Linked DNA regions of Elephas maximus indicus. The protein of the gene in region 2 interacts with the protein of the main gene of each other region in a pairwise test. Links are inferred from orthologs where the notes say so. Each region holds a gene or a part of one and is shown on either strand. Other genes may lie near its edges. The genes, in order: C22H22orf39, CEP76, SALL2 and PARD6B.

Evidence for each region.
Region 1: the proteins of CEP76 (region 2) and C22H22orf39 interact in binary tests that used the Homo sapiens proteins (3 or more experiments, as listed by UniProt). The two-hybrid records come from large-scale screens. The link is inferred for Elephas maximus indicus from reciprocal best matches to the Homo sapiens genes CEP76 and C22orf39.
Region 3: the proteins of CEP76 (region 2) and SALL2 interact in binary tests that used the Homo sapiens proteins (3 or more experiments, as listed by UniProt). The two-hybrid records come from large-scale screens. The link is inferred for Elephas maximus indicus from reciprocal best matches to the Homo sapiens genes CEP76 and SALL2.
Region 4: the proteins of CEP76 (region 2) and PARD6B interact in binary tests that used the Homo sapiens proteins (3 or more experiments, as listed by UniProt). The two-hybrid records come from large-scale screens. The link is inferred for Elephas maximus indicus from reciprocal best matches to the Homo sapiens genes CEP76 and PARD6B.

Annotation. Positions count from the first base shown.
Region 1 is NC_064840.1:32,679,429-32,687,411, forward strand, and holds the start of C22H22orf39 (UPF0545 protein C22orf39 homolog), read right to left. Parts: upstream 3,002-7,983; 5' UTR 2,961-3,001; coding exon 2,934-2,960; intron 2,766-2,933; coding exon 2,598-2,765; intron 246-2,597; coding exon 117-245; 3' UTR 1-116. Other genes in the region: UFD1 (ubiquitin recognition factor in ER-associated degradation protein 1), read right to left, coding at 5,802-5,876. UniProt on the Homo sapiens protein: Negatively regulates long-term potentiation and modulates adult synaptic plasticity. Stabilizes the interaction of RTN4 isoform A/Nogo-A with its receptors, inhibiting clustering of postsynaptic AMPA receptors at synaptic sites.
Region 2 is NC_064829.1:9,168,967-9,176,476, forward strand, and holds the start of CEP76 (centrosomal protein of 76 kDa), read left to right. Parts: upstream 1-4,493; 5' UTR 4,494-4,623; coding exon 4,624-4,686; intron 4,687-6,052; coding exon 6,053-6,208; intron 6,209-7,510. Other genes in the region: PSMG2 (proteasome assembly chaperone 2), read right to left, coding at 1,351-1,522, 3,995-4,051. UniProt on the Homo sapiens protein: Centrosomal protein involved in regulation of centriole duplication. Required to limit centriole duplication to once per cell cycle by preventing centriole reduplication.
Region 3 is NC_064828.1:31,885,474-31,892,702, reverse strand, and holds the start of SALL2 (sal-like protein 2), read left to right. Parts: upstream 1-4,219; 5' UTR 4,220-4,324; coding exon 4,325-4,397; intron 4,398-7,229. UniProt on the Homo sapiens protein: Probable transcription factor that plays a role in eye development before, during, and after optic fissure closure.
Region 4 is NC_064843.1:18,919,198-18,926,420, reverse strand, and holds the start of PARD6B (partitioning defective 6 homolog beta), read left to right. Parts: upstream 1-4,211; 5' UTR 4,212-4,585; coding exon 4,586-4,651; intron 4,652-7,223. UniProt on the Homo sapiens protein: Adapter protein involved in asymmetrical cell division and cell polarization processes. Probably involved in formation of epithelial tight junctions.

The DNA.
Region 1 (7,983 bases), on a different chromosome or scaffold from region 2:
CCAGGTGGAGCTCGCAGGGACCCACTATGACGGGCCAGTCATAGTCCTTAGGTCGCAAGACAGGTCCATTTTAGACAGGCGGAGGCAGCTGGAGAGGTGGCGAGCAGGACCACTCCTCACTCGTCTTTCTCATCCTGGGGCAGAGGGAGGTGCCAGTCTGCAGGGGGGCTCCGCCTCAGGGACCACACCAGGGCGTGCTTCCGTGCAGCCTGGACTCGGGCCCGCTCGCTCTCACAGAGGGATTGCTGTGTAAATGAGACCCCAGTCACTTCTGCCTCATGGCTGGGCCTCAGTGGGCCTGAGTGCCCTCACGTGGCCCCTGTATTTCCCTGCTCCTCAGCACCCTTCCAAACACAGATAGAGAAACAAGAGTGTAGCATGCATACTGTTCTGCAGTATGGTTGCTTCCACCTAACATGTCTTCGCAATTGTTCCATATTAGCACACATACATCTAGATCATTCTTTTTCACAAGCCACTGTAAAAACTACTGTGTAAATCACCATCATTTGAATAAAATTTAAAACATCTCCTGGGCCTCAAGGCTCCCTGGCTTCGGTTCACCTAGTGAACGTGGGGCAGGTTCACCTGCAAAGACAGAAACTGGAGACGTTGAACTGTGAGAAGATAAAAAAGTCTGAAAGAGTGGCTGTGGGAACCTGCCGAGAGGAGCAATTGGCTGAACAAAGAAAGATGAGATAAGAGACATCCCCAGAACTCCTTGGAAGGTTAGGGAAGGAATCAGGCAACAGGTCACTGGGCACAGATGCGCACAACAGGTCCCACTCCACACGTGGGAGCTTCTCTTCATCCACTCTCTCTCAAAAACAAGCACAAGGGCAGTGCTGTCACACAAAGTGGGCCCCTGGCATGTGCCAGGCACTACGCTCTTTACACATAGAAGTTCATCTTCTCCACCTGCCTACTTGTCTCTCCCCTCAAGCCCTATTGTCTCAGATAGAATGCTTTTGTTCTTGTTTAGAAAACAGAAGCACAAAGTAGGGTGTGAAAGGCTCCCAGGCCTCCATCTCAGGTGACAGTTAACAGCTTCCCTACACCTTTCTATGCCCAAATTTTAGAGTAATCCTGTGTTTCTCTAAGGGTGGAATAATACTCTGTTGGTTGCTGTATTTCCTGCTTTTTTTTCACTAAATGATACACTGTAGGTAATTTTCCACACCACAGTATATTACTATCCTGTGTTTAAAGGCTACATGGCACTCCGCCATGTAGGAGTACTTATGTAGTCAAATGTCTACTAGTGGAATTAGGTTGGTTTCAGTTTTTGCACAATCACAAACAATGGCACAGTGAGCACTTTAAGCTTTTAACTGTGCACTGTTGTCCAACTCTTTCCCTAGAACAGACTTCCAGAAGTAAAACTGGAGCCAAAAGTTATGCTTTTAACCTATTTAGTCAGATTAACTGTCCTCCAGAGAGGGTGTTCCAGTTGAGACGCCCAGGAACAATGCGCAAGTACTCCTGACTCTCCAAACCGCTACCAACACTTCTACATTCCACTGGGCAAAAAACACTGCTACTGTCCTTTTAACTTGTGTGTCTGGCCATTTGGCTTTCTTTTTTCATGAACTGCTTCTTCATGCCCTTTGTCCACTTTTCTATACTGAAATCATCCCCACTTTTCCTTTCGATATATAACAGCTCCTTTTTTATACCTATTAAGTTGTCAATCTCTTGCCATATAGACTGCAAACTATCTTTCCCAGTTTTCTTTCACTTATTATGGATTTGTCATCGCTTCCTGTTAAATAGCACCTTGGTTTCCACATCAGCTTGTCTGTTCCAAAATAATCACGTACACTTAACAAAGTTGAAGCTGTCCCCAGTCCTGCTGGCTCCCCTTCCCCTAGGCACTCCCCATAAGCACTGCACCCTCACCCCTTCTCTCCATCCACACTCCCACCACTGGCCTGAGGCACCACTAGAGTGTGGGTGCCAGGGGGGCAGTGGCTGTTCTCTTCACTCCGCTAACCCCAAGAACACCTGCCATGAAGTAAGCCAGTGATAAATATCTGCTGAATGAATGCACAACTAGAACAACCTCCAGAACAGAATCTAAATTCTTTATCAAGACACATCAGGTCCCTGGTAGCTCTCCACCCTCATCCTCTACCCTCCACAGCCCTCCCTCCCTCCGCTCCAAGCACCATGGCCTTCTTTCTGTTCCTCAGTCTTGTCACCTAGGGCTGGGTGAACGCTAGCTCCAGGTCATTCAGGATTCAGCAATATGGCCTCCTCTGAAGGCCTGCTGATGGCCCCAACACTTGCAGGTGGCCCCTCCTCCCTCTCCAAGTCACTCTACAACTCCTCCTAACTTGTCTCCTTCATTGTCCTTAACACCGTCTGAAAGTCCAGTTGATATACCTGTTTTTGGCATTTCTCAAAAGAAGGGAAGCTTAAGGAGGGGAAGGGCCCAGTAGGCCTCCTCTCCACAGGGTCACCGGAGCCTGGGTCGAGGGGAGGGCTTGGCACATGCAGGGGGCTCTACACATATCCGCAGGACGCGCGCCTGCCCGCATGCTTGCTCTCTACCCCGACATCCTGGCAACGTGTCCCCGCTGGCCTCCCCAGGGTACCTGGGCCTCGGCGCTGCGGCGTTTCTCCCACTCGTGGCAGCTGGCCAGGTCGCGGAGCCACTGGTCGCAGGCCGGCCGCTCGCCGTGGACGTAATAGTGATGCAGAAGGTGCCTTGCGCTGCGGCAGAGTTTCCACTCGGCGCGGTAGGCTTCGCAGGGTCGGGGCGGCTGCGGCGAGAGGCGACGCCTGAGAGCTGCCGGAGGCACGCCCCACCCCAGAGGCCGCTGTGCTGCCCATCCCCCGACCCCGTCCCACCCAGCCCAGTGAGGGTTCGGTTAATATGGTCGCCTGGTCCGACGAGGCCGCTACGGATTCGGGTCACAGACCACGCTTACCCGCCAGTTCCCGCCGCCGTCGGCCATGTCTAAGCAAAACCACCAAACCCCGCCTTCTTAACCCGTCAACCAATGAAAACTGAATAAAGTCGGCAGCCACACGATTGGCAAATAAAAGAACCAATGAATTCCTAGATATGGCGGGTTCTAACCTCCTAAAGAGGGGCCAATAAACAGGAGGTCCGCATTGGGCAGCCAATAAAAGCCTGGGGCTGTGGTGCGCGCGGGCGGGGCCGGGGAGAGGCGGTCAGGTATCCTCTACAGGGGCAGGAAGTCTGGCCCCGGACCTAGTGTTACCGCAGCGGCTGGAGGTGGGCGGGAGTGATGACTGCAGCTGCCCGCCTGGTGTCGGTGGGTGTCCCAGGCTGCAGCCAACCACGTTAAGTTGACTGTTTATGAAGCCGCACGATTCAGGCCGGTTAGTTTCAACAGCTTCAATATTTTCAGGAATCTCAAATGCCCGGTTAATTTTCCTAAGCAAATAGTGAACATCAACCCCGTGTCAGGAACCACCAGGTTCTGGGACAGCAGTGGTCTCACCCTTCGCATCCAGTCAAGAGGACTGAGGTGAAGTCACAAAATAACCTGGGTTAGCTCAGCATAGTATGGGGGAGGAGGTGAAGGGGGCTTAGGGCACAGAGTAACTTCGTGGAGGGAACCGGGGCTGAGCGCTCTGAGCATAGCAACAGCCTAATCAAACTCAGGGAGTCTGTGTCTAGCACGGAGTGAGAAGCAGAGCCGTACAAACCTGGAGGAGCTTTTATGTCTGATAAGATTGTAGGCTGTTTTGAAGCCACGCAGAGACAACGTTTACAAACAGGGGAGGTGCAAAGAGGCAATAAAGAAGCCAGTGGGCCTCCACCAACTCTCTGCAATACCTCGTATCTGGATGTGGTGGTTCTCCAGCTTCTGCTGATAGAATCATTTGCTGGGGAGTCCCTTAGAGCTAGGTTGCTGGAGCCACCCCAGGAGTAAGAGTAGGTCAGACTCACTGGAGGAGGGGCCCAGAAAGCCACCAGTTTTACCAATGGGCCCACCACTGAGGTGGCTGACCCATGGCCCAAGCTTGGAGGAACACTGTCTAGGAAGACTATAGGCCAAAAAAAAAAAAAAAAAAATAGGCCAGGGTGCAGTAAATGACCTTGACTTCTAATCCAGATGACCCCACTGTGTATATCCTTAATGCTTCCATCAGAAGGCCCAACAACTGGGTCTACCCCCTGGCCCAGGAAGGGCAGTGTTCTCCACACTACCAGCCAAGAGCCAGATGGAGTTTCACTGCATACACAATAGGTGTTACTTATAGATGACAAAAGCCAAGGCCTATGGCTTACTGTTAACATTCTTCATTATGCATATAATTACAATTTGTTAGCCAATCTAATCCTGCAGATGGTGGCTGCCAATCCACCAAAGAAGGCGCCCATGTCTGCTAGGGAAACGGAGGCTCTTTTAATGGAGGGTCAGGTAGGTCAGAAAAAAAAAAAAAAATTCTTTTTTTCTTTTTCTTCAGGTAGGTCACCGCAATAATTCATGTCTTCCAAAACCACATCCATCACCACTGGTCCTGACCTCTGTGGTGACCATTTGGGCCATGGGTCCAAGCCCTGGTCACTGACATTTGTTGATGCAAGTTCTCTCTGAGGATACCTGGATAGATCCTGAGGCTACCACCCTGGAGGGGTCATCTTTTTCTCTTCTGAGTGTTGGAGAAGCCCTGTCAAAGTCAGGCTTCAGCCTATAAGCATGATAAGCCCTGGCACACAGAAGGGACCCTGCTGGGCCTCACCATCCCTACCCCCAGGGTCACAGAGCCTCCTCTCTCTCTCCATTATCCAGAAGAAACCCCAGAGGGGCACTTTTCTAAAGGCAGGATGGAAAGTGGGGCACTCGTCGGCAGGCCTTCCTCCCCTTCCTAGTCAGTGACCCAGCCACCAATCACGTTGTTATAAACATTTACATTAGAGACAGTCCAGGTTTTAATCATTGCCTGTTTTTATTTTAAATTCTTCATTTAGAATTATTTTCAAGGAATAGATTAAAATAGTTAGATTAGCATGTCAAAAGATCTCACATTATAGAAGGTGAAGATCTCAGACCAAATTAATACTAATAAAAAATAAAGACAGACCAGCAGAGCTGTGGATAATTTAATACAGTAAAATTGGGAGTGAGGATGGGGGAGAAGGGAAAAGAGCATACCTTTATTGTTTATAATAATATTCACATTTGTGCTTCAACATGAAGTTATTTTTCTATAGAACAGGTTCATTCAGGAGCCAAAGTTACTTCCACATGAAACCAAAATAAAAGTGGGTACTTTGTTCAAATCAGGTTTTCCTTCTGAGGAATGGTACTTAAAAAAAAAAAAAAAAAAAATCAATATGTAAAATAAAAATAGAAACAGCCTTTCTCAAATATATAAATTGCAGCCAGGGTAGCAGATATTCTAGGCCAAAAGCAATATCTTAAGCAATGGACCTGGAACAAAAAAGAAAGGCTACATAGAAAAAAAAAAAGAACATCTCAAGTTAGAGCAAGGCAATCCCTCCACTGGCTTTATCAGGAATGAGGGAACGCTGGTCCCACTGAGCCAGTGGCAGCCCCGAGGGCTGAGCATAGACTGGCAAGGAGGTGACCGACTACTGGACCTCAGAGGCAGCTTTCTCTTTCCCAATATTAAGCACACAACTATGAAGTCCTGCTGTTGCTCTTCCAGCTCCAACTTGATAATTCTAGGTAACTCTAAACAAACCTTAAGTAACAGAGCGTTTTCTGGCAATAGTCTCATCCTTGTCAGAGCCAGTAACTAAAAGCCAATACGTTGCAATCAATTATTTTATTTTCCAATCAGGCAACAGCCCCGACTTATGGCTTTCTTCCCTTTTTACGCAATGACTGTCCTTCTCCAGAAAATGCAACGAATCTGCCTCCAGCTTCATCCTAGGTGTGCAAAGAAAATACCGTTTTCAGAAAGTCCTTGGAAATTTATAATAATGTTCTATTCTGTTGACTCCTGTACCATCCAGTCATTTTTCTTTCCCGTTACTCATAATGAAAAATATTTTAAATATAAATACAAGTCATAGTTCACTACATTGAGAACACCAAAGAATCACTATGAGTCTGCCACAGCCTTTATTCTCAGGTTAAAAGTGTATCGTTTTACAAAAGCACTACATTTCCAATGTAAAGAAAACATAGGATACACCAAGAAAATAAAAATCACTCTAAACCCTGTTGCCATTAAGTTGATTCTGACTCACAGCAACCACGTAGGACAGAGTAGAACTGCCCCATAGGGTTTCCAAGGAGTGCCCGGTGGAATCGAACTGCCAACCTTTTGGTTAGCAGCCAAGCTCTTAACCACTAGGCCACTACCCTAAAAAAGGCTTTCCAGTCACTTTTCGGTCTATGACTATATAAACTGTAGTTTCTTATCTAATACCTTCTAAAGTCTACACAGACTCCCATCACGTGTGAACCAGTCTTATATCACTGCGTGGCCCCCTCATGCCCAGGCTTTCTGTATTTTAAATCGCTGTGGTGAGCAGCCTCATGGGTCTGTACACAGACCTGGCTCTTCCTAGAAGTGGGGTGGATTCCTAGATGGAATTCTTGGGTAAACGGGTATACATATTTTCAAGGATTTTAATATATACTGACTAATCAGCACTCAAAAACATTCTACTAAGCTATTCTCCTACCAGCAGAGGGGACTTATTATTCTGATCCTTTGAAAACAGCAGGTATCTTGGCACAATGACCCATTTTCACATGCTTTTATTGCTAGTCTTACACATTACCTATTGACTTTTCTCTCCGGAAGAAGAGGGTTCTGCTCTCTCCAATGCATACCCTGACTACCTGCACCCCAACACTCATTCTGTCCCCTCCCCATCCAAATACAGCACTTCGCTTGTTCTAATTCTGTAAATGTGAGCCATAGCCCAGTTGTTTAGTCTTCCTTTCCTGCACAACCTTCCAGTTTTCCTGGTGTCAACAATGGTGTTTGGCTTCTCTCTACTCCATCTGTTCAATCACAGCAGTATTCCAGCAGGATCCTGAGGCCTTTGGCCAGCCTAACCTGCACTGGCCATTCTCTAGCACTGCACATGGCAGTGGGGACTCCCTGTTTTCTGGATTCTGTGCCTTTCTTATTTCTTTATCTTAATGGGGTACATCCTCCAGCACCCTACTGAGAAAGGCAGCACAAGGAGTATCTTTTTATGAGATCTTAAGGTGTCTTAAAATATCTTTTTTATACTCTCACACTTCACTGATGGGTTGGTGGGTACAGAATGTTAGGTTGGAAAAATTTCCCCTCAGAATCTTCTAGATTTCTGTGTCCTACTAAGAGGCAGATGCCATTCTCAATCTGCGTGAAACCTCTTCAGGAGTGGCTCCCCTGCCCCAATAGGGCCATTTTCACCCATGCTGAGCACTCAGGGACCCTTCCGAGCAGCAAAAGCCTGCCCTCTGGTTCAGGGAAATTGCTTCCCTGATGATTTCTCTGTTTTCCCTTTCTAGAACTCTATTTGGATGTTGGCAGTGGAAATTTTTTTACTGGTCTTCACTGGGGTGAGCTGGCTGGGACAGTTCCAAAAGGAACCCTACTTTATCACTATCTTGAGGTCCTTTTCCTGGGCGCATCAGACTGGCCCCAGAAAGCTCCTCCAGCCTCCCAAATCCATAAGTGCACCTGGCTGCAGTGTCCAGGAGCTAAGAGGGGAAGAGCGCGAAGGGCATCAACACTCAGCATGCAGGCTGTCACTTATTCATTCTTCTAGTTCAGTTCTGCTAACCACTGTGCCTGATTACCCAAATCTGGAGATCTCCCATTATACCTTTTCCTCCAGCTTTCTCCTGCACAGCAAGGTTGGGGAAGAATGTTGTGGTTCTAACTATTTAACAGACACCTTGTTTTTAGATCCCATTTCTAGAGGTGCCTTTGGAGGACGCTATAATCTAAACCAAATTGCTTTACTTCTTTCCCCACAGCCTTTTTGCGATTCAGCTTTCCATGGTCTATTAAGTCAGTTCCCACTTG
Region 2 (7,510 bases):
ACAGTTGAAATACCTCATTTTAAACAATAAAGTGGATCGAAGTACTTTATCACTACAGTTGACTTGCTGCTAGTCTGTGTCAGAGAAAAGGAAGTGGATCTTTTACTGGAGTGAGCGAGCATGGAGAGGACAGTGTCGTGGTGAAGAGGCAGCTCACAAGGCCCGGCTGCCTTGATTTCAAACTCAGCTACACCAATTATTAATCACGTGACCTTGAACAATTTACTTATCATCTCTCTGCCACCGTCTCCTCATGTATAAAACTACCTCATGGAGTATCTGTGAGGGCTAAATGAATTAATACATGTAAATATACAGTGTTCAGTTCACAGTAAATGCTCAGTAAGAAACAGCTGTTATCATTAGTGGAAATTATATGAATTCTAGTCCTCTCACTAAAATCTTTTATCCTTTAATGCAATAACTGAAATTCATCTCATGTTAATCTTCCCTGCAGGAATTTCAATAATAAAGTTATTTCTCAAAACTGCATTTCCTTATTGCAAAGTTAGAATAATGTCATGGTTAATAAGACTGACAGAAAACAAAATGCTTCTTCATCTGCTCTTTAATCCACTTGGGCCCCTCAGGCTCCTCTACTACCTTTGGCTTTCACCCCAAAATGGTAAGCAGAAGACCGAGAGGCCAATAGAGCAGTTGGCCATCAAACCAAGTAACGGAGTTCCTGTGCTTCACGATCCACAGCTTTCCCTGATTCCCATGGTGCTATCTCACAGAATCGCCCAACAGCATCAGTGCAATGTGAACAGTGTTCCCTATTAACCGTGCTTGACATGTCCAATGAGGAAATCAGGACTTTTGGAAACATATGCTAAAGGAAAAGCCCACCCTTACTAAGTGGCATTTGGCAACTCACTCTCTCTAAGCCTTACTACCTAATCAGCTTATTACGGATTCCATAACAATGCAACAAGACGACTTGGAGGCTTAGATGAGAAGTACATCTTAAACACTAGGACTGAGTCCAGGCGAATTCTCATTGCCACATTTCCCTTGTATGAGTGATAACGATTACACGTGCCAGTAAGAACAGAAAATAAAACTGAGGATGAAGGAGAAAAAAATTCATGTTGGGGGGAAAAAAAGGAAATCTTAAATTCTATCTAAAGACACAAGTACAGTTACACCCCTCATAAATGCTGCCATTTACAAAAAAAGGCTAAGACCTAAAGCCAGAATGTAACAGGGCAATGTGACTGGGTCATAATACTCACTGACAGCACAAAACCAGCACTAAGTAAACATTTGCTTCAAAACAGTATCTGTGAGTCTATTTCTAATTTAAAACAACTCTGTAGTAGAATAAAACATGCTGCAAGTTGTACATACCCTCAGCATTTATACTGAGTTCTGCTGCGTTTTCTTCTGTGGTTGCATATGGATTGTTTCCAACCATGGGCACAAGACAATCGGTATAAAAGTAACCAACCTTAAACATATTCAGCGTGGAAATAATCAGATCTATTGCAAGCTGGCCAACATTTCCAACGGATACTGCTGGCTGAAATCATAAAAGATATATTCGATAAGTCATAAAATGTTAGCAACACTTTTAAAATTTAGACTGAAAATAATAATCATAGTACTAGTACTGAACGCTTATGCTTGGGTATATCACAGCTAAATACTGACTCTTTCATTATCTATAACTGTGATGTCAGCTGAGGCCTCCTCCACCTTTCACACAATTCATTTACCAAATATTTACTGAGCACCTACTATGTGTCAAACGCTGCTCTAGGCATTGGGGATGGAAAAAAAAAAAAATCAGAAAAAAAATTACTGCCCTTGTGGAGCTTCCTTTCTAGTGAGGATGTGGTTTACCCGCAATAAACAAAATAAATAGGTAAAATATATAGTAGTAAGTACTATGGGCAAAAATAAAAGAGAGAAAAGGGATATAACGTGAGTGTATATGTCCCTGTGTGCAGTTGTTTGTAATTTTAAATTGAGTGTCAAAGAAGACTCACTTCAGGTGCAAAGTGACTACTATGGAACTGAAGGAGTAAGGAAGAGAGGCATACAACAACCTGGGAATGAACATCCTAGGAAGTGGGAAAGTTGTGAGGTATGTACAAAAGCAATCTTGGGTCTTCTTGTACCACTTTCTTTGCCCACATCTAAAGGTTAGAGTGACCTTTTCACACTAAACACACACATACTTATCCCCATGACTTCAAACAGCCAACTGAAATCTCTGCCTACAGCTGAGAACACTTACTTGAGCTCTAGCAGCTAATGGATATCTCTACATGGTTATGCCACAGGCACCCCACATTCAACATGTATAAAACTAAACAACTGCCCAAACCTGTCCCCATATTTTGTATTTCAGAAAAGAGCAACACCATTTACCAGATCACCTAAAACAGGAACCTTCTTCCCTTACCAGCTCTATCTAACACATAACTGATTTTCATTGATTCTTTCTCTAAAGTATCTCTTTAATGGAGTTACTTCCAACTATTGCTCTTTACCGGCCTTCATCCTATTTTGCTGGGCCACTCACAGTGGTCTCCCACTGTTCACACCTGTCATCAACCCTGGCAACCTCCAGTAGTTCCGTTTTTCCTCTCCAAGACTTTGTTTCTTTGGTTATACTCTTTCTCCTGTACGTTGAACCTGCCAGCTACCCCGTGGGAGAAAAATGTGGCAGTCTGCTTCCACAAAGACTACAGCCCTGCCTGGTCCTCACATGCCCCTCTATCTCATTTCTGTGTCCCCACAAAGCCAATACCTCTAACCTTTGTCCTCTGAAACATGAGCAGGAATTTTATTGCTGAACGAATACATACAAATCTCCACATCCTCTAACTCATTCCATAAGCTGCAGCATGGGTTTCCTCTCCACTGAGAACTGTTTGCAAAGGTTACCACCCACATCCCACATGTTGCTAAATCCCAAGCGCACACTTCCTCGTCTTACACATTCGCCTACTTGTGACAAACAGGTATTCTCTCCTTCTTTCAACACTCTCCTCTCTGGCTTCATGTGCTTGATATTTAATGAACAAAAGGACGGCTGTTCACTCTTCAGCCATACACCACTTCCAACAGCGCCTTCTGCAAAGGTGTCTCTTGGGCTCACAGGCCTGCAGCCTATTATCTCTCAATGAGTCATTCCCAGTCCAAATCCTCCAGCTCCCCCATGCCGGTGTGTCTCTGGGGTAGACATCCATTTTCCTGAAATGCCCTATTCCTGCCCCCCAGCCCCCAATACCTCACTTTCTGGGCGTTAATTTCTTTAGGAAGCATTTGAAGAAAAAGCCCTGTGCCCACTCCTCCTCCCCACAAGTCTTAGGGCCTGTCAGCAATCTTTTCAAACTTGCACCCCAGCACTCACTGCCCTCGTCCACTGACGCGTTTCCAGGTAGACTACGAACTCCTGTGGACAAGTCTTATCCTAACATTCGTACGTGCCAGAATGTTTACTGAAACACTGCATGAACGTGGCCAACTGCACAAGCGATAAAACCGTGTTAGCTACTGGCAAAAAAGTGACTTTTATTACTACCACTGATTTTAATACTTTTACAGTAAACTCCCATTTGCTTAAATTCAAGCTAGTAAACGACATGGTTTAAGGTTACATTTATGGTTTCTTAACAGAGAGAACCTCTGGAGAACAGCATTACTTTGCTAGCTTAAAACCGACCTAGAAGTAGCTGGGAAGACCTCTGAGGGTACACTTGAGGACGATACCCTGTACAACCCACGCAGCCCAGCAGCTCGTGTCACAGCTAACAGACGGACTACCGACTCGCACAAGCCCACAGGTCCACGAAGGCTCTCGAGAACCGCCGCCTCCCGCGACAGACAGCCTCTGCTGCCCCTTCAGTGAGGGCTGACAACTGCACAGAAACGGCCCCTCTCTCCCCCGACCCTGCGCGGCCCGAGCCCGGGGGATGAAGCCGCCGGCGCCTCCGGAGGCCGTGGCCCTGCGGGGCCGCCGAGAACTCGCCAGAGAACCCACCATCAAGAGGGTGAAGCCCGTGAGCTCGGGCGCCGGGTCCACGCAGGGCACAAACATGGCCGCAACGTGGGGCTGAAGGAAGGGACAGAGCGGGGGCGGCGGCGAAGTCGACCTGCCTGCGGCCCGAGCGGCGGGAACGCGGAGCGGGAACAGCGGGAACGCGCGGAGAAAGGAGCAGACAGGACTCGAACGCGGCCGGGCCGGCGGGGTCCTGCGTCCCCTCGGCGCCAGGTCCTCGGAGGCCTTCCAGTTTAACTGCCTGCGCGGAAGGCGGGAAGAAACTGCGAGGGAACGGGAAACGGAAGGGCAACACGTTCGGAGACCCTGGAAAGGCTCATCGGCTGGTGTGTGGAGGCTGCGGGGGCCCGGGGACACCCGCTCCCGGCCGCTCAGGCGGCGCTGGGGGCACCCCGGGGCTCGCCGCTCCGCTCCCCGGCTCCGCCCCAGACGCCCCGCCCCGCCCCGCCCCGCCCCGCCCCGCCCCGCCCCGCCCCGTCCGGCCTTAGAGCGCGCGCGGGGAGCTGACGCGGTCGTCGTTCGGAGGCGCTGTCGCGGTAGTGGTTCGGCGGAACGCCGGCCGTTGGGACTCCCAGGCCGGGTAGGAGCGGTGGCGAGGCGCGGCCGGCGACATGTCCCTGCCCGCGGAGAAAGCCTCGGAGCTGAAGCAGCTCATCCACCAGCAGCTGAACAAGGTGAGGGCGCGCGGGCTCCTCCGTGCCAGTGTCGGTCCTCGGGGTTCGGGCCGGGCCGTGGGAGCAGAGGTCGGAGCGGCAGAGGTCGGAGCGGGAGAGGTCGGGGGAGCAGAGGTCGGAGCGGCAGAGGTCGGAGGGGCAGAGGTCGGAGCGGCAGAGGTCGGAGGGGCAGAGGTCGGAGGGGCAGAGGTCGGAGGGGCAGAGGTCGGAGGGGCGAGGCTTGGGTTTGCAGCCAGGAGAGCTTTCTGGCCTCGCTGACAGAGACTCGCTGAGGAAGCGGGAGTGCCGGGCTGCGCTGACGGACGGGTCGGGTTCTGGGGGACCGTGGTGAACAGGAAGTGTCCGTCGAGTCGCTGCAGGAAGTCAAACCTGCGCTTGGATCCCGTGTTTATACTCAGACTTGAAAAGTCAGAATCGGTTTAAGGGTGAAACACGAGGGTGCCGTTGAAATTGAGCGGGTAGCTTAAACCAGCAGTTCTCAAAAAGTCATAGAAGAGAAGGCGCTAAAGTCTGTAACAAAAATATTTGTGATGCTTTGGAGCAGGAGAACACGGAATGTTCGGGACACTCAACTGAATGCAATAAGCTGATTTGAAAAAACCGGGCATTTGAAATATTAATAAAAGCTGCCATGTGTTGTGCACTTGTACGCCAGGCTTTGTGCTGGGTGTTGAGCATCTGTCATCGAATCCTGACCACCAACCTGTGAGAGGGCAATACTTTCCTCATGTTATAGACGAGGAAGCAGGTTCAGGAAGGGTAAATAAGTTGGCACGAGGTTACACCTCTAATAAGTTGAAAATAAATTCAAACGTTGATTTATCTACTCCAGGTTCTTTTGATGTTACTGTATTTCTTTTTAAAAGATACATATTTTACTTGAGTCTTGTTTGTGCGGAAAAAGTAACAGATGACCAGTAGAGACTCTAAAAAATTTGTACTGAAAATTTCATCTTTTTTTTTTTTTCTTAAAAACAACGAAACCACTTGCCCTTGTTTTCACTGAATTGTGGTAACAAGTTTACAATTAACTGGAGAAGCCTGAAACCCAAATTTCCTAAGTTTAGTCTCTAACATCCCTGTTATTTTTTTTTTTAATAACATTTTATTGTGTTTTTGGTGAAAGTTTACACAGCAAGTTAGGTTCCCGTTTGACAATTTCCACACAGATTGATCAGTGACGTTAGTTACGGTTTTGAAGTTGTGTCAAGATTCTCCTTAATTTTGTTCTGATTGTTCCCCGTTTTTTTCTTTATTACTTTGATTTAGTATTTTAGAAAGAAACTGGTTAATTGGTAATATTTGGCTGCTTTGATACATGTGCTCTTCAGGAGAAAAAAAATTGTAACGTGAGTTTTCTACGTAGATGGATGTCCACGGCAGAATACGAGAAATCCTTGCTGAGACTATACGTGAAGAACTGGCACCTGATCAACAACAGTTATCAACAGAAGATTTGATCAAAGCCCTTAGACGTAGAGGAATCATTGATGATGTGATGAAGGAACTGAATTTTGTTACTGTGAGTAATGATTTAGGGAAAAAAAGTTGACAGTGTAAGTCTGTTCTCATGCTTGACAATGTTTATAGGGTGCATATTTGGGGCCTCCTTTTAATAAAACCGCTTTAAACCTTTTTGTCTAGTAATACCCTAGTTTCAAGTATTTTTTTTTTTCAAGTATAAGGTAGCTCTACGAATATAGCAAATAGTATTATTTGCTATAATATCAGTGAAATTGGAGGGGATTCCACATTCCTGTCTGTATATTGACAGAATTTTCTCGTTATCCTCCAGGTCTACAATTTTAAATGCACATATTTTAGTCACATTACTTCATCATGTTATTAGGTGCCATCCAGTTGGTTCAGACTCATAACGACCTTATGTATAACAGAATGAAATGCTGGTCCTGTGCCATCCTTATAATCTTTGATATGTTTGAGCCCATTGTTGCAGCCACTGTGTCAGTCCATCTCACTGAAGGTCTTCCTCTTTTTGGCTGACCTTCTGGTCTGCCAAGCATGATGTCCTTCTGCAGGGACTGGTCCCTTCTGATAACATGTCCTAAGCACAGGAGATGAAGTCTTGCCTCCTGGCTTCCAGGGAGCACTCTGGCTGTATTTCTTCCAAGACAGACTTGTTCATTCTTCTGGGAGTCCATGGTATATTTAGTATTCTTTGCCATAACTCAAAGGCATCAGTTCTTCAGTCTTCGGTATTCATTGTCCAGCTTTCACATGCATATGAGCCTGTTGAAAATATCATGGCTTAGGTCAGGTGCATCTTAGTCACCATAGCAGAGTTCTTTTTCATTAAGATTATAGTGTAATTTTTTTTAGATTGACGAGCTTATTTTTAAAATAAATGCATTTTTTGGGGAGTGAATTTTCTATGACTAACAAATTATAAATTTCTTTAAGAAAATAGTGTGACTGCTTAAGAGCCCTCAAATCTTTTCCTACAAATAGGTCAGTAGCAGAGTGATAGCCTCTCAGTACATAATTAGTAAGTAGGCCTTTTGAAAATGAGGCAATAATGAGAAGCTGTGACCTCAATACCTGGATAACCTGATGTAAAAATTGGAATGGATTTTATAATACACGAAGGAATAAAGTGTTTAATACAGCATCCTTTTTTAGTTTTTGAGGTTTAGAAACCTATTTATTATTAAAAAATGACCTAGTAACAGCTTCTGCTGTGTGAATTACACTTCCTTGTAAAAACCTGCTCATGACCATTCATAAACCAAATGTTGTATGAGGTTTAGAAAAAGTTTAGCTTTCTTTAAGTATTAAGGGTTTGTATTTAACACTTCTGTTTGTT
Region 3 (7,229 bases), on a different chromosome or scaffold from region 2:
TGTTCCAGGTCTGCAGCCACAAAGGGAAGCCCATAACAGAGGCAGACATTAACAGGATGGCAACCAAGTGTCACATGGTGGTAAAAAATAAATGCAGGCTGTCCAACTGGGCATTGCTGGGGTAAATTTCAACCCTGCATTTTAGCTATGAGACCCTAAGCAAGAAAGCTACTTTGCCTCTCTGCTCTATGGTTTCCTCATTCGTAAATTTGGGTGTTCTACATGTGTAGGTTCGGAATGAGTTAGAATCGGCTCAACGGCACACAACAACGTGTATAAGATAGGGGTTATAAAAAGCTTCCTTTGCAAAGTTGTTTTAGGATTAAATGAGATTATGTATTCAAAGGGCCTGGCACACAGAACGTGCTGCAGCTGTGATTATTGTCTTCAATGAAAACATTACATGCGTTTCTAGATTCCTGGTTCAGTTCTCTTGCCATTAAACCAAATTCCTTATATGATTCTAACTCATCAGAGGGTAGAGGAAATGCCTCCACAAGGTTTGCTCTTCTACATACAAACTAGAAAGACAGGAAGGCTAAGAGCAGAGTATTGTCATGAGAGAAAAGGTGTTGAATGAAATGCCAAAAAGTTTCCTGGACCCCCACATGACTATAATTGTATTTTAGGGCAAAAAACCACTATGCGTATAGAAGTACTTTTAAGTAGTTTTTTGAGATTAATACGTAAAAGTGTATTAATCTCAACAACATCAACAGACATTTAGCAAATAGTACATACATTTAAGAGACATGTTGTTTATTTGATCAACAGACAGGGCTTGGTTCATGGATACATGGATTCCCTTGCAACAACAAGGCAGTCTCCTAGGAATCTAGAGCCCATGGTTTAGAAACCACCAGTCAAGTGCAATTGTCTCAAATTGACTCTTCCGAGGAATCATTTTAAAAAATTTTTTTTAAATCTTAAATCCCAGCTCCATACCCACCCCCCACCCCCCACTCTCTGAGATTCAGATCCGGGGTGGAGCCCAGGAATGTGAATCGGTGGGTCTGGGAATTCAGATATAGAGGAGAATTCAGGGTTCTGAGAATTAGCATTCCTGACTGGATCTTTATCCTTTGTCTTGCAGGCATCTCATTCTAGTCACCTTCTCTTTGTTCCTCACAGTCCGGGGCTTCTTTAACAGTGGTGTTGTGCTAACATCACAAAACAATTTGTACTAAACTCTCTGAGATTCAAACATTATATCCAGTTTTTGTTAAAAAGCAACAACATAAAATTAAGCACTTAATTTTGTCACTGATGTACTTTAACATCCATTTTAACTAACTCAGAGACAACCTTTGCACACAAATGAAGGATACAGATACTGTGCTCAAGTGGTCTGGCTTAAAAATTGACTCCATGATGAAACACCTCAACAATACTTTAAGCTATATTGGGTCAATGGCCAATGGGGAAGCTGAAATAGAAAATGTTGGTAAAATTAAAAAATGTCATAAGAAGAAACCAGAAAAAAAGCCAGAAGGAAAAACCTATCTTCAACACCTGCTTTCCTCATCCAGAATATTCCCCCTGAAGCCACTCAGGCTCCCACATTTGAGAAGGAACTGGGGGTGGGGTGCCAGGATAAGTCCCTTTTTCCTATTCCTTTATTATCTCCAATGCCCTTGAGTGCCTCTTCAGCTTCCTGGGAATGTAAGCACTTAGTCTGCAAGGTCAAAAGACCACAGAACATTTTCCAAAAGATTAGATCACCAATTGAAGAAAGAAAAGTGTTATTTTAATATTCTCTTCTAGTATTAAGTTTAAGTCTGTCTCTCCCTCTCTCTTTCATTTCTCTCTCTTTCTTTCATTCTCTCTCTGATTTTCTCTCTCTCCCTTCTTTTCTCCTTTCCCTCCCTCTCTCTCCTTCCCCTCCCCTCTCCACTTCACCACACACAGAAACCCCTTTTCAAAGGGGCTTTTTTCCAACTCAGTGAAGTAAAGTCTTTGCCCCTTTGTGGGGAAGGCTCATTAACATTCTCACAGCAGCATCTCTTCAAGGATTTTACTTTTGTAACTCTGTGGTGAGGTCAAGAGGCCACAGTGGAGAGGTAAAAGGAAAAAAATGGTAAGCGGGAGAGGGCGGAAGAAAGGCGAGGAGGGGAAAGAGCCCTTCCTTTCACAATAAGCGCAGCAAGAAGGGAGAAAAAGTGGAAAAAGATGAAGACAACCAAGACCCAAGAAAGGGACAAATGCAGACCCCTAAATTTGCCCATGGAGATTTCATAGACTCCTGAGAAAAGGAGAAAGCTGTGCTCCTTCCTCCTTTCTGTTCCTCAAAAATGCAGGTAAATGACAGGACACAAGCTATTCCAGTGAGGAATTATAAGCTTTCCTGGCCTCAATGTCCCCAATTCTCCTACAATCCCCTAGTTCTAACCACATCTGTCTACCACAGAGTACTTACCAAGATGAATGAAACAATGTCAGCAACAAGAATTCCAAGAGTGGAATGAGAGGGAGCCACCCAGGGTCCTGACCCCAAAACACCGGGAAAATAATGAAGATTCAGGGAACTCCAAAGTGAAGATCAGAGAGCTTCCCAAAACTCTTCAGATGTGGGTACCTGCCTCATCTATCACCAGCAACCCAACTACCGTCGGTTGTCTTCCTCTCCTTTCTTAGTATTGCTAAATTAGCCAGGGTCTTTTTTTTTTTTTTTTTTTTTTATGTAAAGGAAAAAAAAAAAACAAAAAAAGAAATGAAGAAAACTATGAGTGAGTTTTGCTTTGCTTTTTTCTGAAGACAGTCAGCCACCAAATAAATTTATATCACTAAACTCCAAAAGAGAAAATAATTTCCCCTTTCCCAACTATAGGTATTTCATATGGTCTGTCATCTCAGAAGAGTAAAAGGTAAATAGGGCTAGTAGAAGGGAACCTAGGCATTATAGCTACAGGGTAGGGCACATCTGGAATATTCTATGCCCCATATCACAGAATTGCTCAAAGTCAGGTATGAACAGCACTTAAGTTAAAGAATAATAAATTAATTACCCTCAAGTGTCTAAGCAGGAAAGACCTAGTTGGTCGACAAATGGTACATTTTAGAGATGGAAGAATTTTTAAAGGTCTGGTTTCTTATCCACAAGGAAATCCTTTCCACAGCCTCCATGTGAACATATTACAGAGGGCTCACAAATTCACTAGAAAGTCCATCACACTATTAGAAAGTTCCTTTATGTAGAACAGAAAACATCTTCTTGTGGCTTGCATTCTGGAGTACGATGAAACTCATCTAGTTCATCTTCTCAGAGGCATTCCTTCAACCGTGGGAGCTGGATAGGGGAGTGAGAGAGATAGAAAATCCACTGATTCAATTCCTATTTTAAATAAGATTCCTTAAGATGAATCACCTTCCCCCCGCCCCACCCCACGCTACCAGTCTGATGGCATATTGTGTCTTCAGCAATATAGAGAAAAGAATGCTAGACTATCAGCTGCACCTGGGTTCCGGGACTGTCTCTGTTACTGCGTAGCTGTGCAACCTTGAATGGGTTACCTAACCCCACTGAGCCTTTGGTTCTTCTACAAATGGGATCATCTATAAATGGGAACAGTAAAAAAATCTGACGTACTAAACTCAGACTTGTAATATTCAAAATATGTCATGTGCATGAAAACATTCTGTAAATTATAAAGAGCTATGCATATATTGGTTATACATATATTATTATAATGACAGTCCATCCTCACTGAATCTTTTTGCCAACTTTTCATATTCCCGTTTTCAACTAGAAATAGTTGACTTCTTGGCCTCGTGATTAGGATATACCAAAAAGTTCTTATTTCAGCTTGTACCCCAGAAGCAGGCACATCATCAAACATGGGTCGGGGAGGTGGTGTGGAATTATGAAAAAACCAAAAAGCACTGTAAAGATCTTGGAAGAAGAGTTAGACAAGAGAGCAAAGGAAGGTCTCTGAGCAGACAGCACAGGGAGAGACCAGAGCCATCGCAGGGAGGAGAGGGTTAAATCCTTTCGTCTGCAGTACAAAAGAAAAGAGTGTGCGGAAAGATTAGGATTTTTGCTTTTACAATGGGAGCTGCAGAAGCGTAGGGAAGAAGCTGAAGAAAAAAAAGGGGGCGTCTCCCCTTTAAAGACTTGGAGAGATTGAGAGAGAAAGAGAGAGAGAGAGGGACAGGGAGTCAGAGAGTCTGTCTCTGGGAAGGGAGACCATCTCTGCTTCACAGTGATTGCACTGGAGGGGGGGAAGCATCAGTTGGCTTCAGACCCAAGGGGGAGAACGGGGCAGGTCACCCCGGTTGAGACTAAGTGAGCGTTGCCCCTCCCTCTCCCACCTCTCTCTGCCCGGGAATGTCTCGGCGAAAGCAGCGGAAACCCCAACAGTTAATCTCGGACTGCGAAGGTCCCAGCGCGTCTGAGAACGGTGGGTGCCTGGGGAGGGCTGGGGGAGCCTGAGTCCAAGGCTGTGTGGGTCAGGCCAGGGCAAGGGGAGGGCACCCGGGCCATGGGCGAAACCAGGAAGCGGGGGGCTTGGTCACTGGAGGCTTGAAGGAGTTGTTATGTGAGGGGTAAGGAGGTGACCTGTGCTGGGGAGAAGCCCTGATCAGCTTTTCTCGGGATTGATTCTGTTTGTGTTTTCCTTGTTGTTTTTCTCTGGATGAAATGGAGTTTTCGAACTGGCTCTATCTCCCCACCCCAGAGTTTTCTCCCCAGGTCCCCCTTTGCTCACTGGTCTTTGTGCCGTTGCTAAGTAACGTCCTCAGACCTGAAGACCTTCTCTTAGGGGTGGGATTTTCCCCCCTTTTCTTTCTGGAGAGTTGGGTTGCAAGAGAATGAATTGGATAAACGTGAAGTTTCCCCTGAGGGAGAAGAGAAAAAAGTTTCTCATTGTTGAGCTGAGCTGAGAGCGAATCAGAGCTCCCAGAGGGAGACAGCTCTTGTCGGTCGGAAGGTAGCCTGGTTTGGGGTGTGTATCCCAGTCACCTGGTGTAGATGCTGGAGGATGTGATGAAGATCTGGTTGAGGGGCTTGGGTTTGTGCTTCAAGGGAGGCCAGTTTAAAAAAAAAAGTATGTTAGTTAACATACTCTAACACACCCGTAAATACATGTGTATCATTTTATGAGGATATTAAAATCTGTTATTTAAGCAGATTTCCTTTATGGGGTACAGTTTTTTCGTGTATTCTTAAAAACTCCAATCTGAGAGGGGCAGACAATAGAGTAACTGCTGTACTAAGAAATGACATTGACCAATGTCTCAGAGGCAGGGCCTTGTCAGGACAAAAATCAAAGTTTCCTGATGCACAGGGGTATCAGGAGGGTGGTTTTCGCTATGTGTTTGGATTCCTCAAACTTGCTTGATTGTGAGTAGATTGTGGATAGAGTCTGGAAATCTATATCTTTTGCAAGAGTCCTGGTAATTCTTAGGCTCAAGCAAGTTTTGGGCACACTGGTCAACGGTGTGGCTACATATGCAGGCACCTGTGAAAGTCTGGAAGTCCTGGCTCAGGGATCAACGGTCTATTTAGCAAACAGTTGGTTTACCCAACAATGTTGTGTAGGGTTAAGCTGCAAGGGTTCTGAAGCCAAACTTAGGGTTCAAATTCTGGCACCACTGCTTAACTGTGCCAAATTGAAATGAGTAAAACACTTAGAAAAGTACCTAGCCTAAGTAAGTAGTTAATGTGTGGGTACTGTTATTATCATGCTACTGTGAGTGCAGTGGCTCCTCCTACAAGTTCGGAAATATGACCAAAGTTCAGGAACACTGGGTGAACGCCAGCTCAGCATTTCTTTATGAGATGTGTGCCATGAAAGAGCTCCAGGATAACGTATCTTTAGTAACTGAAACTTGTTGGAAAAAAAAAAAGAAAGACTTGAGGTCAAATCAGCGCTCCATGGATTATGAAACAACCTTAACAGATTGTGTTTTGGGTAGAACACGTCCTCCCCAAGTTACTGCTCTGCTGGGATCCCACTGTGCCCATATTCAGAGGTTCTATTGGTGGCATCCTTCCCTCCAGGGACACATTAGCCCTCCTTGATGCTGCTACAGGCCGGATGTTTCCTCCTTGTGCTCTACAGGAGACTTCCCCCAGAGCCTCAGAGTCGCCTCACAATCCTGCTCCCCTGCTGGCTCACTGTGGAACAATGCTGAACCCTCTGAGGAATCCTCTCCTCTCCTTCTCACTTCTCCCAAGTCTGTTCACCCATTCCCCATACCACAGCTGAGGAAAAATCTGTGAGAGAAAGGGTCAACAGAAGTCTTTAGCGATTACCCTGAATGAGTTCTCAAATCCATTGAGCTATATCTCCCACTTGGAGCTATAAATACTTAGGTGCATGGCGATGCTGTGGCAAAACCATCCCCATCGAAAGAGTACAGGCTTGAACCCAATGGCAGTAACAAATTTCAGTAGAAGCTTTGCCTTTGAGCCATAAAAGGCAGAAACATGAATGTAAGGAGCTAGAAAGCTATAGTAACTTCTCTTAAGATCTGTCTTAACAAAGCCTGTTTCCTCATCAGAATTTCCCTGAGAGGGAATGATCCTGGGCTACTTGCATGGCCTCGAGTGTCATTGGCTGTCATCTGTAAGAAGAGTTTGTTATATTTGATCATATCTAAAATTCCTTCCTGCTTTTATAAGTTTAACATTTGCACAGACAAGGTCTCAATTTGCTTTTGTGATCTTCAGTCTCCTGACTTTTCATTCTACCCCAGAGATGTGTTTGCTTGTTCTGCATGCCCTTAAATTAGGTATGCAGGACTCTTCTTTGGAGGAACACTGCATCCTTTGGTATATCTGTGAAATTATGACCCTCAGCACACATTATTTAGTAGGCTAGGGTGCCACTAGTATTTCCAAGAGTGTTTTGCCTTTTTTTTTTTTTTTTTTCAATTTTTATTGTGCTTTAAGTGAAAGTTTACAAATCAAGTCAGCCTCTCTTACAAAAATTTATATACACCTTGCTATATACTCCTAGTTGCTCCCCCCTTAATAAGACAGCACAATGCTTCTCTCCACTCCCTATTTTTGTGTCCATTCAGCCAGCTTCTGCCCCCCGCCCCCGCCCTCTCATCTCCCCTCCAGACAGGAGCTGCCCACATAGTCTCATGTGTCTTCTTGATCCAAGAAGCTCACTCCTCACCAGTATCATTTTCTACCCCATAGTGAGCCTTTTGCCTTCTTTCAAGCAATGTTTACTATACATGGGTAGGTTTCTGGGAAGCACAAGTGGGCTTACACTTGGCTC
Region 4 (7,223 bases), on a different chromosome or scaffold from region 2:
AGTTAACATTTATCAGCTTAAAAAAAAAAAATTAATCTGCCTGCCTCCAAATATAAACAACCTTCATACTACTGAAAATTAAATGAGATAATCCATGGAAAAGTACTTAGCCCAGTTCCTGGCACTTGGTGAGTCCCTCATAAATGTTAGCTATCATCATCTTTATCAATACCTTGTAGGAACTGGGATATTTTGGTTGAATACTGCAGCCTGCATGTTGACCTTGACAGAAAGATTACTCTTTTCATTTCAGTTCATCCCTGGTAATGTTGAAATAACGATCAATCTCCATTATCCCTGGGGTACCATAGAATGTTAAGAGCTGGAAGGGTTTATGGAGATGATCTCATCCAGTGCCTGTACTTTACAGACAGAGAAATTGAGTCTCAGGGAGGGAAAAGGTCAGAAAGCAAACCTGTGGCTGAACCAAGTCAAGGGTAAGACACACGCACAGAGCCCGGCACCTACTGCCTCTCATAAAGATAGGGTTTACCCGAAAGTGCATTTAGCTTCTTCAATCAGGAGATAATTCATTAGTTTCCGTGGCTGTGAGCACCACCAGCCAGGCCCCACACACAAAGCAGTAAAGTATTATGAGGTATTGACGAGAAAACAGATCATGTGATTTAATTCCACCTCTGCTAAAGGGCTTAAAATGCTTTGGTGAGTAGTATGAGATTCTAAGTATACACTTCAACTCTTTCTCAAAGAATTATTAACTAGCTCCATCAAAATGAGCTTGAGCAATCAAGGAGAAAAAGAGCTGGCAAGAGGAATTCCTTGAAAAAAATTTCACCAACAGGATATATGACTTTTCGCCATCTCTCTCTCTCTCTCTCCTTAATTCTAAGCGTTGGAAGAGGAAGGAATGAAAAAGGTATTATGTAAGATGTGAATTACTAAAACTAATCGTGGAAAATTACAACTCTTGAGACTTCACAGTGTAGGTTTCAAATGAACACAACAGGATATTTGTAGAACTTAAAGACAGAAAGCATTTAAAGGGAAGATAAAGCAGAGGGGTAAAAACGCTCTAACTTCATTCAGAGGGTGGAGATGGGCCAGGGAAGCCTCACGGTATGTGGGTGAGGTGATTTCTGATAGCCCACTCCCAGCTAACTACTTTGTGAACCTATAATTTACAGTCCATAACATCACACACTCACCTTACTTATCTCCCTAACCCACTGAGTATTAATCTCCCAGGCATGGGACTAGCTTTTCATTCCACACACAGGTCTTGATCAGCTTTAGCTTGAGGATTTGGGGGTGGGGAGGGATGATGGAGAGAAATAAGATTAGGGTCAGTCTCAAACCATAGTAAACAGGAATATAAACCCTTCTCTATGCTGTTTCTCTGGGTTTCCCAAGAAAGGCTGGAATTCAGGCCCTGTGAATGAACTTGTGGACATACCAGCTCTAGGAATGAACGGGCTCCCCTCCTTCACAGCACCTTTATCAAATTCAAACTATTTTCCACATTCCTCCTTTACACAACCCAAGCGCACTTGTGACGCAGACCTCAGAGCAAACTCTGGCCTGGCCCTTCCTTCTAGAAAGGAAAGTCCAAGTAAGGAGGGATACCACACCCGGGGGAGGGGAGAGAGGCATGACGACACCTCCAAGAATGCAGAGCCCACGCAGGTGCGTTGGCATCTACTGACTTCCTTTTTAAACGGCCTGATAAATCAGTACTGATAACAGTAATAAAACTCAACCACCCAACAATCGCCCACACAGAGCTAGGGCCCCCCGCTCTTAGGGCGAGGCCCTGCCAAATAGAGAGAGAAGGGTGAATGCTGTGAATGAAGAGCCCTCAAGGTGGTGACGTAGCTTCTAGTCCGTGGTTCTCAAAGTGTGGTCTAGGGACCCTTGGAAGTCCCTGAGATCTCTCTGGGGATTCACAAGGTCAAAATTATTTCCATAATTGTAAGATGTCATTTGCCCTTCTCGTCATCCCCCATTGACTCACAAGCACACAATGGAGCTTTCCAGAAGGGACAAGACATGTGCATCAACACTCTGATGACTACAGGACTGTGTGCTTCTGTATTCCTGTGTTTTAAATACTTGTTTTAATCCTAATAAAACAAATATTGATAGACGTAACACACACAAAATATTTTGGGGTCCTCCATAATTTTTAAGTGTATAAAGGGTCTTGAGATCAAAAAGTTTGACAACTGCTGTACTAGTCCAGTTAAGAGAGTTACAGTTTAGGCCCTGAGGCTTCCCCATGGTGACATCACATCTTTATTTCCAGCTCAGCTTGAATCACATGAAAAAACCCACTGCCATCCGATTCCGACTCATAGCGACCCTATAGGACAGATATGAGTAACATAGTAGGTACTTTTGAACAAGGGGGTGAAAAGGCTGCCTTATTATTATTCAGCTTGGGATGGTATCCTTTCCATCTGTACCTCCACCCAGAAATGCCCATGAAAACGTTAAGTTCTGTACAAACTTTGCGCAACTGGAACCTCCACCCTCCCATGAAGAAAGACGGGCTTCTTTCTCACCCTGTAAACCAAGGTGGGGCAGTTAGCATACAGAAACCACACTTCTTCAGCCCCAGCACCCAGCAGAGATGTATCTGAGTACCTGCTAGAGTCAGGCATTGTGCTATACCCTCAACAGTGAGAAAAGCAGATGTGGTTCCTGCCTTTAGGGAGCTTTCATTTTAGGGTGGAGAAGATTACTCATTAAAAAACTCAAAGGCATCTAAAAAAAAAAAAAAGGCAAGCTGAAACTGTCACAAACTCTGGGAAGAAGAGGTATAGGGCGGTAGGAGCAGATGTGTTAGGCCCCCAGGACTCAGCTGGAATGAAGCATGCTAACCAGGCCAGCTCCCCAAGACCCTCTTCTTGACCTCAGGTTAGAAATCCCTGTTCCAGAAGGACTGAATTGTGAGTTCCTGCCTGATCTTTCTTCCTGGCCTTCCATGGTTAACATTTGTCAGTCTCAGGAACACACACCACACATTGTGTCTGTCACCAGATTGGGCTGTGACTACAAGTCGCGGCATGGCTGTTCCCTACTCTAGCTCACAAGAAGTTCAACAGCCCTTCGAGAAGCAGCAATCCTACGGCGGGCCTTGGTAGCCCTTGCGTAGGGGGAAAACTTCGTGAGGGGGAGACTTGGGGAGGGGGTCTTCTCCAGCCATAATTTTCAGAGGGTCCCACCTTCCCGGCCTGGCTAATGCTAAACAGGGTCTGCCTGGGAAAATCCCAGCTCTGGTGCATTTAGAGAAAAGGATACGGCCTTTCGTTACTCAGGGACACAGCTCCGTTGCTCGGGAAACACACACAAGCCAGACGCTGTCATTTGGGGAAACAGCAAAATGGCCAAGAAATGGCTTGAGGTGGGAAAAGGGAGCCTTCAGAGGTTAAAAAGAGAAACAAACCGAAAAAAAGCGCAGAAGGGTCGGCCTAGGAAAAGCCCTCGGAGGCTGGGCCCGAAGAGAGCACCTAGGACTTGAGCCCACCTTCCTTCCCTTCCCGGCGCCAATTCAGTGCTGGGACCTGACGCACTTAAAATGGTGCAGGGCACAGAAACTCTGTTCGACAAGACCCAGCCCCGAGGGCCCTGAGGTTCACCACCAGTCTCTCCTGCAGAGGCGGGAAAACTTGGCTTTTGCAACCAAGAGTTGCATCTGGACGCCTAAAAGACGCAAACAGGAGGCCGAGCGTCGATTTGAAGCTGCGACAACCCAAACTGGCGGCGGGGCAGGCCCGGCGGGAAGCTAGCGGCCCCGCGGAGCCTCAGCGTGGTCGACCACCCGAGTCGGGGGAGTCGGCGCGCGTCCCGCGGCGCGAGCTCCCAGCGGGCCCTCAGTAACCAGGCGCGCTCCGGCGCACCCGCGCGTGCGCAGGAGGCCCCCCACCGTCGCCCTTCTCCAGGTGCGCTCGCGCTTCCGGCCGGCCTTCTCGCACCCTCCCTGCCCTGGGCGGAAACTCCGTGGCCTGCGCATGCGCCCCCCGGCTCTCCTGCTGAGTCCAGAGGGGAGGCCCCCGGCTCCAGGTGATCCCGCCCCTCCTTCGCAGCGCTGGACCAATTACGCCTCGGTGGGCGGAATTTTCGAGTAGGCGGCCCGCCCACGAGCTGAGCGAGGCGTGTATCGATTGGTTGGCGCCGCGGGCGCAGGTGCGCGCTTCCCATTGGGTGTGGGCGGAGCGCGGTCTGCAGAGCCTTTCGGAGGCTGCAGGTGAGCGCGCGCACTGGGCTCGGGGACGCGCCCGCGGGCTCGCGGCGGAGGCTGCCGGGAGCGAGGCTGCGGCGCTCGTCGCCTCTGCTCCGCCCCCTCCTCCTCCTCCTGCATCGTCGCGGCCGCCGCCGAGGCCCGAGGGAGGGAGCCGCGTCCCCGCCCTCCGCGCCGCCAGTCCGACCCTCGATCCCGCCGCGTGAGGAGCCAGCAGAGCGGGGCTCAGGGCGAAGACGGGAGCCGCCGCCGCCCCCTGTGCAGGTGCCAGTGAGGAGGCTCCGGGCCACAGCCGCCCCCCCAGCCCGCCCGCCGCGCACTCGCTCCCCGCTCTCCTGTGCGGTGGCCCGGCCGGAGGAGGCCGCCGCGGGCTCGGCGCTCAGCATGAACCGCAGCCACCGGCACGGGGCGGGCAGCGGCTACCTGGGCACCATGGAGGTGAAGAGCAAGGTGCGCGGGGCCCGGCAGGGTGAAGCGGCGGGGCCGGGGCCGGGACACGGGGAGGCCAGAGCCGGGGGCGGAGGGCGGCGAACGCGGCTCGGGGGAGGCGAGGGGCCCGGCAGGGACCGCCTGGGGAGCTGCCCGGTGCCTGGGACGGCGGGGTGCGGGGTAGTGGGACTTGGAGACAGGCGGTGGCGGATAATAAACTCGCTGAGAAGGGGACGGGCGAGGGCTTGTATCTGCTCCTGGCCCTGATAGGACGACCCAGTGGAGCACTTAGTCTCAGTCCTGTTCCAGAATGAGAGTGAGGCCCAATCTGTACCCGAGGATGCGGAGGCATTTGAGTACAGTGTGGGAGGAAAGGTTTGGGGGAAATTCTGCGTACTGGGTTGACGAGTAGAAGCTATTTGGAATATCCCATGGTCATATAAAGTTACCCCTTCGTGGCTCAGGGGATCATCCGGTGGCAAAGGAAAGAGCCCAGTGTACTAAAGAGCCCTTTTCAAGTGAGCTATGTTTCCTGCAAGGAATTTTTCTAGCACTAACTTTGGTATGCATTTAATCTGTAAAATTTGCACTATCACCTTACGTTTGAGTGGTACTTTACAGTTTGAGTCTGGATGCTCTTTTCATTCCGTCGTTCTACCTTTTCACATCAAGTGCTTTCACCCTTGACCTACGAACGGTATGCCAATCTGGGGATAATTACCTCCGTATCAACTGAATTCCTAAATTGCAAGGCCGGGCGAGCAGGACAGTCTGTAGGGATTAGTTAAGGAATGCTTTCCAAAGGGGGTTTTGAACTGGAATTTGAAGGTGATCGGCAGCTGCGGGAACATTTTCAGCAAGCATTCCATGAATTGAAGAGCCGAAAGGAGTTTAGATCATCTAGCCCCATTCTCGTTTTACAGATGAGAAGACTGAGGCTCAGAAGGGTTATGACTTTCCCAAGCTCTGGTTTTGTGATAAAACCGTAAAGCCTTGATTAAAGCTGTTTCAGAGAATCACTTTCAGGCACTGCAGAATACAAAAAGTTCACTCGCTAGGCCCTGAGCACATTTAGAATACAGTTGGGAAGAGCAGAACACAGAATAGAAAAATAAAAGCATATCACCTTCAAAAATAACGAAGCACGTTGAATGTAAAACTAGTTAGAATGCACAATCAAGAAGCCATTTGAGCGAAGTGCAGTGGAATTAAGGAAAGTTTCCAGGAGCCTGTGGGTAGAATAGTTTTTATTGTCTAGGGCTGATAAACACAGTTCTGTAAGTTGCTGTAACTGAGAACCACATCAAGAATATGTAAATGTGTTCATTTTTAAACTTTATTTGCGACTTTAAGAACTCACCTATCAGGATAGGCACTAGTTTAAGGAACCGTTCTGTAATTATAAGCAATTTAAGAAATAGGTTCTTCCTTGTGTCCTCCTTGGAACCGTTGTAGCACATTGAAGTGGCTTGCTTGAACTAAAGGGTTAAGATGACTCAAAATCTGCAGAGCTTTTCCTCTAGCAGTCTGGTGGTGGTAGTGTCCCTGCCCATTGGTTGGGCTTTCTCGTCCCAGATTTGTTATAAATGTAGTTTGGGTTTGTGGGAGTTGAGGTTAAGAAAAGAAAAGCACTTGTGATACTGCCTAATCTTAAAATTCAATTTGTGGTCTTAATCTTGGTGGTGAGTCTTTAGTTTTTTATCTTAGGAAAAAATGAGTAGGGATTTGATAGTAGGGCTCAGTCGAGGTGCACTGATAATTACAATGAAAGTTATTTCTGGTACTGGGAAACTTTGAACACTTGGGAACTGGAACTTCAGGCTTTTTGCTCTTCATTTGTGAATCTTTCATATACTGTGGCCAAACTATATGTTGTGTGTCGGACCTGCCATAGTACACGTCTTTAGTGAGCCGGATCTCTTTAACAGAATCAAGGCATCCTGAGAGCCGGCACTGAATGAAGTGGTCCCACTGTTATTCTGGCTGCTGGTAACTCGGCATGGCACACAGGGACATGTAGTATGTCTCTGACACCTTATGTTTTAAATATGTGTTAAATGAAGCAGTTGTCATCTTAGTCATCAGAGATTTAGTCATCTGGACATATTTTCGAAACAGTATTTCCTTTTACACTGCTTTAGTGCTATCTCAGCTTTTTACAAACTGATCACTAAGCTGGTAAACAAAACTTGGTAGTGTGCAGACCCACGCTTTAGGATTTTTTTCTTCAGCATTGAAAACAGTAGCTTCAACTTTATTATCTTCGCTCATGGAGAGAGAAAATGGTGCAGATAAGAAAATAACGGACGGCGCAGAATCACTAGGGTGAGATTGGTGATAGTGCTGCCATGTGATTTTTTTCCTTTGGTAACTGATTTATCTTCCTAATTGCTTCTCCAGAGTTAGGAAAGTTTTTAACAAACACAATGATGTCCTTCAACCTTGGAACAGTGTTTGAACCATAAAACTTCCTAACTGTTAATTATGTTGTTGTTAGGTGCCATCAAGTCAGCAACCTTGTGTACGACAGAACTAAAGAAACACTGCCCAGTCCTGCACGATCCTTGCAATTGTTGCAGCCACTGTGTCAGTC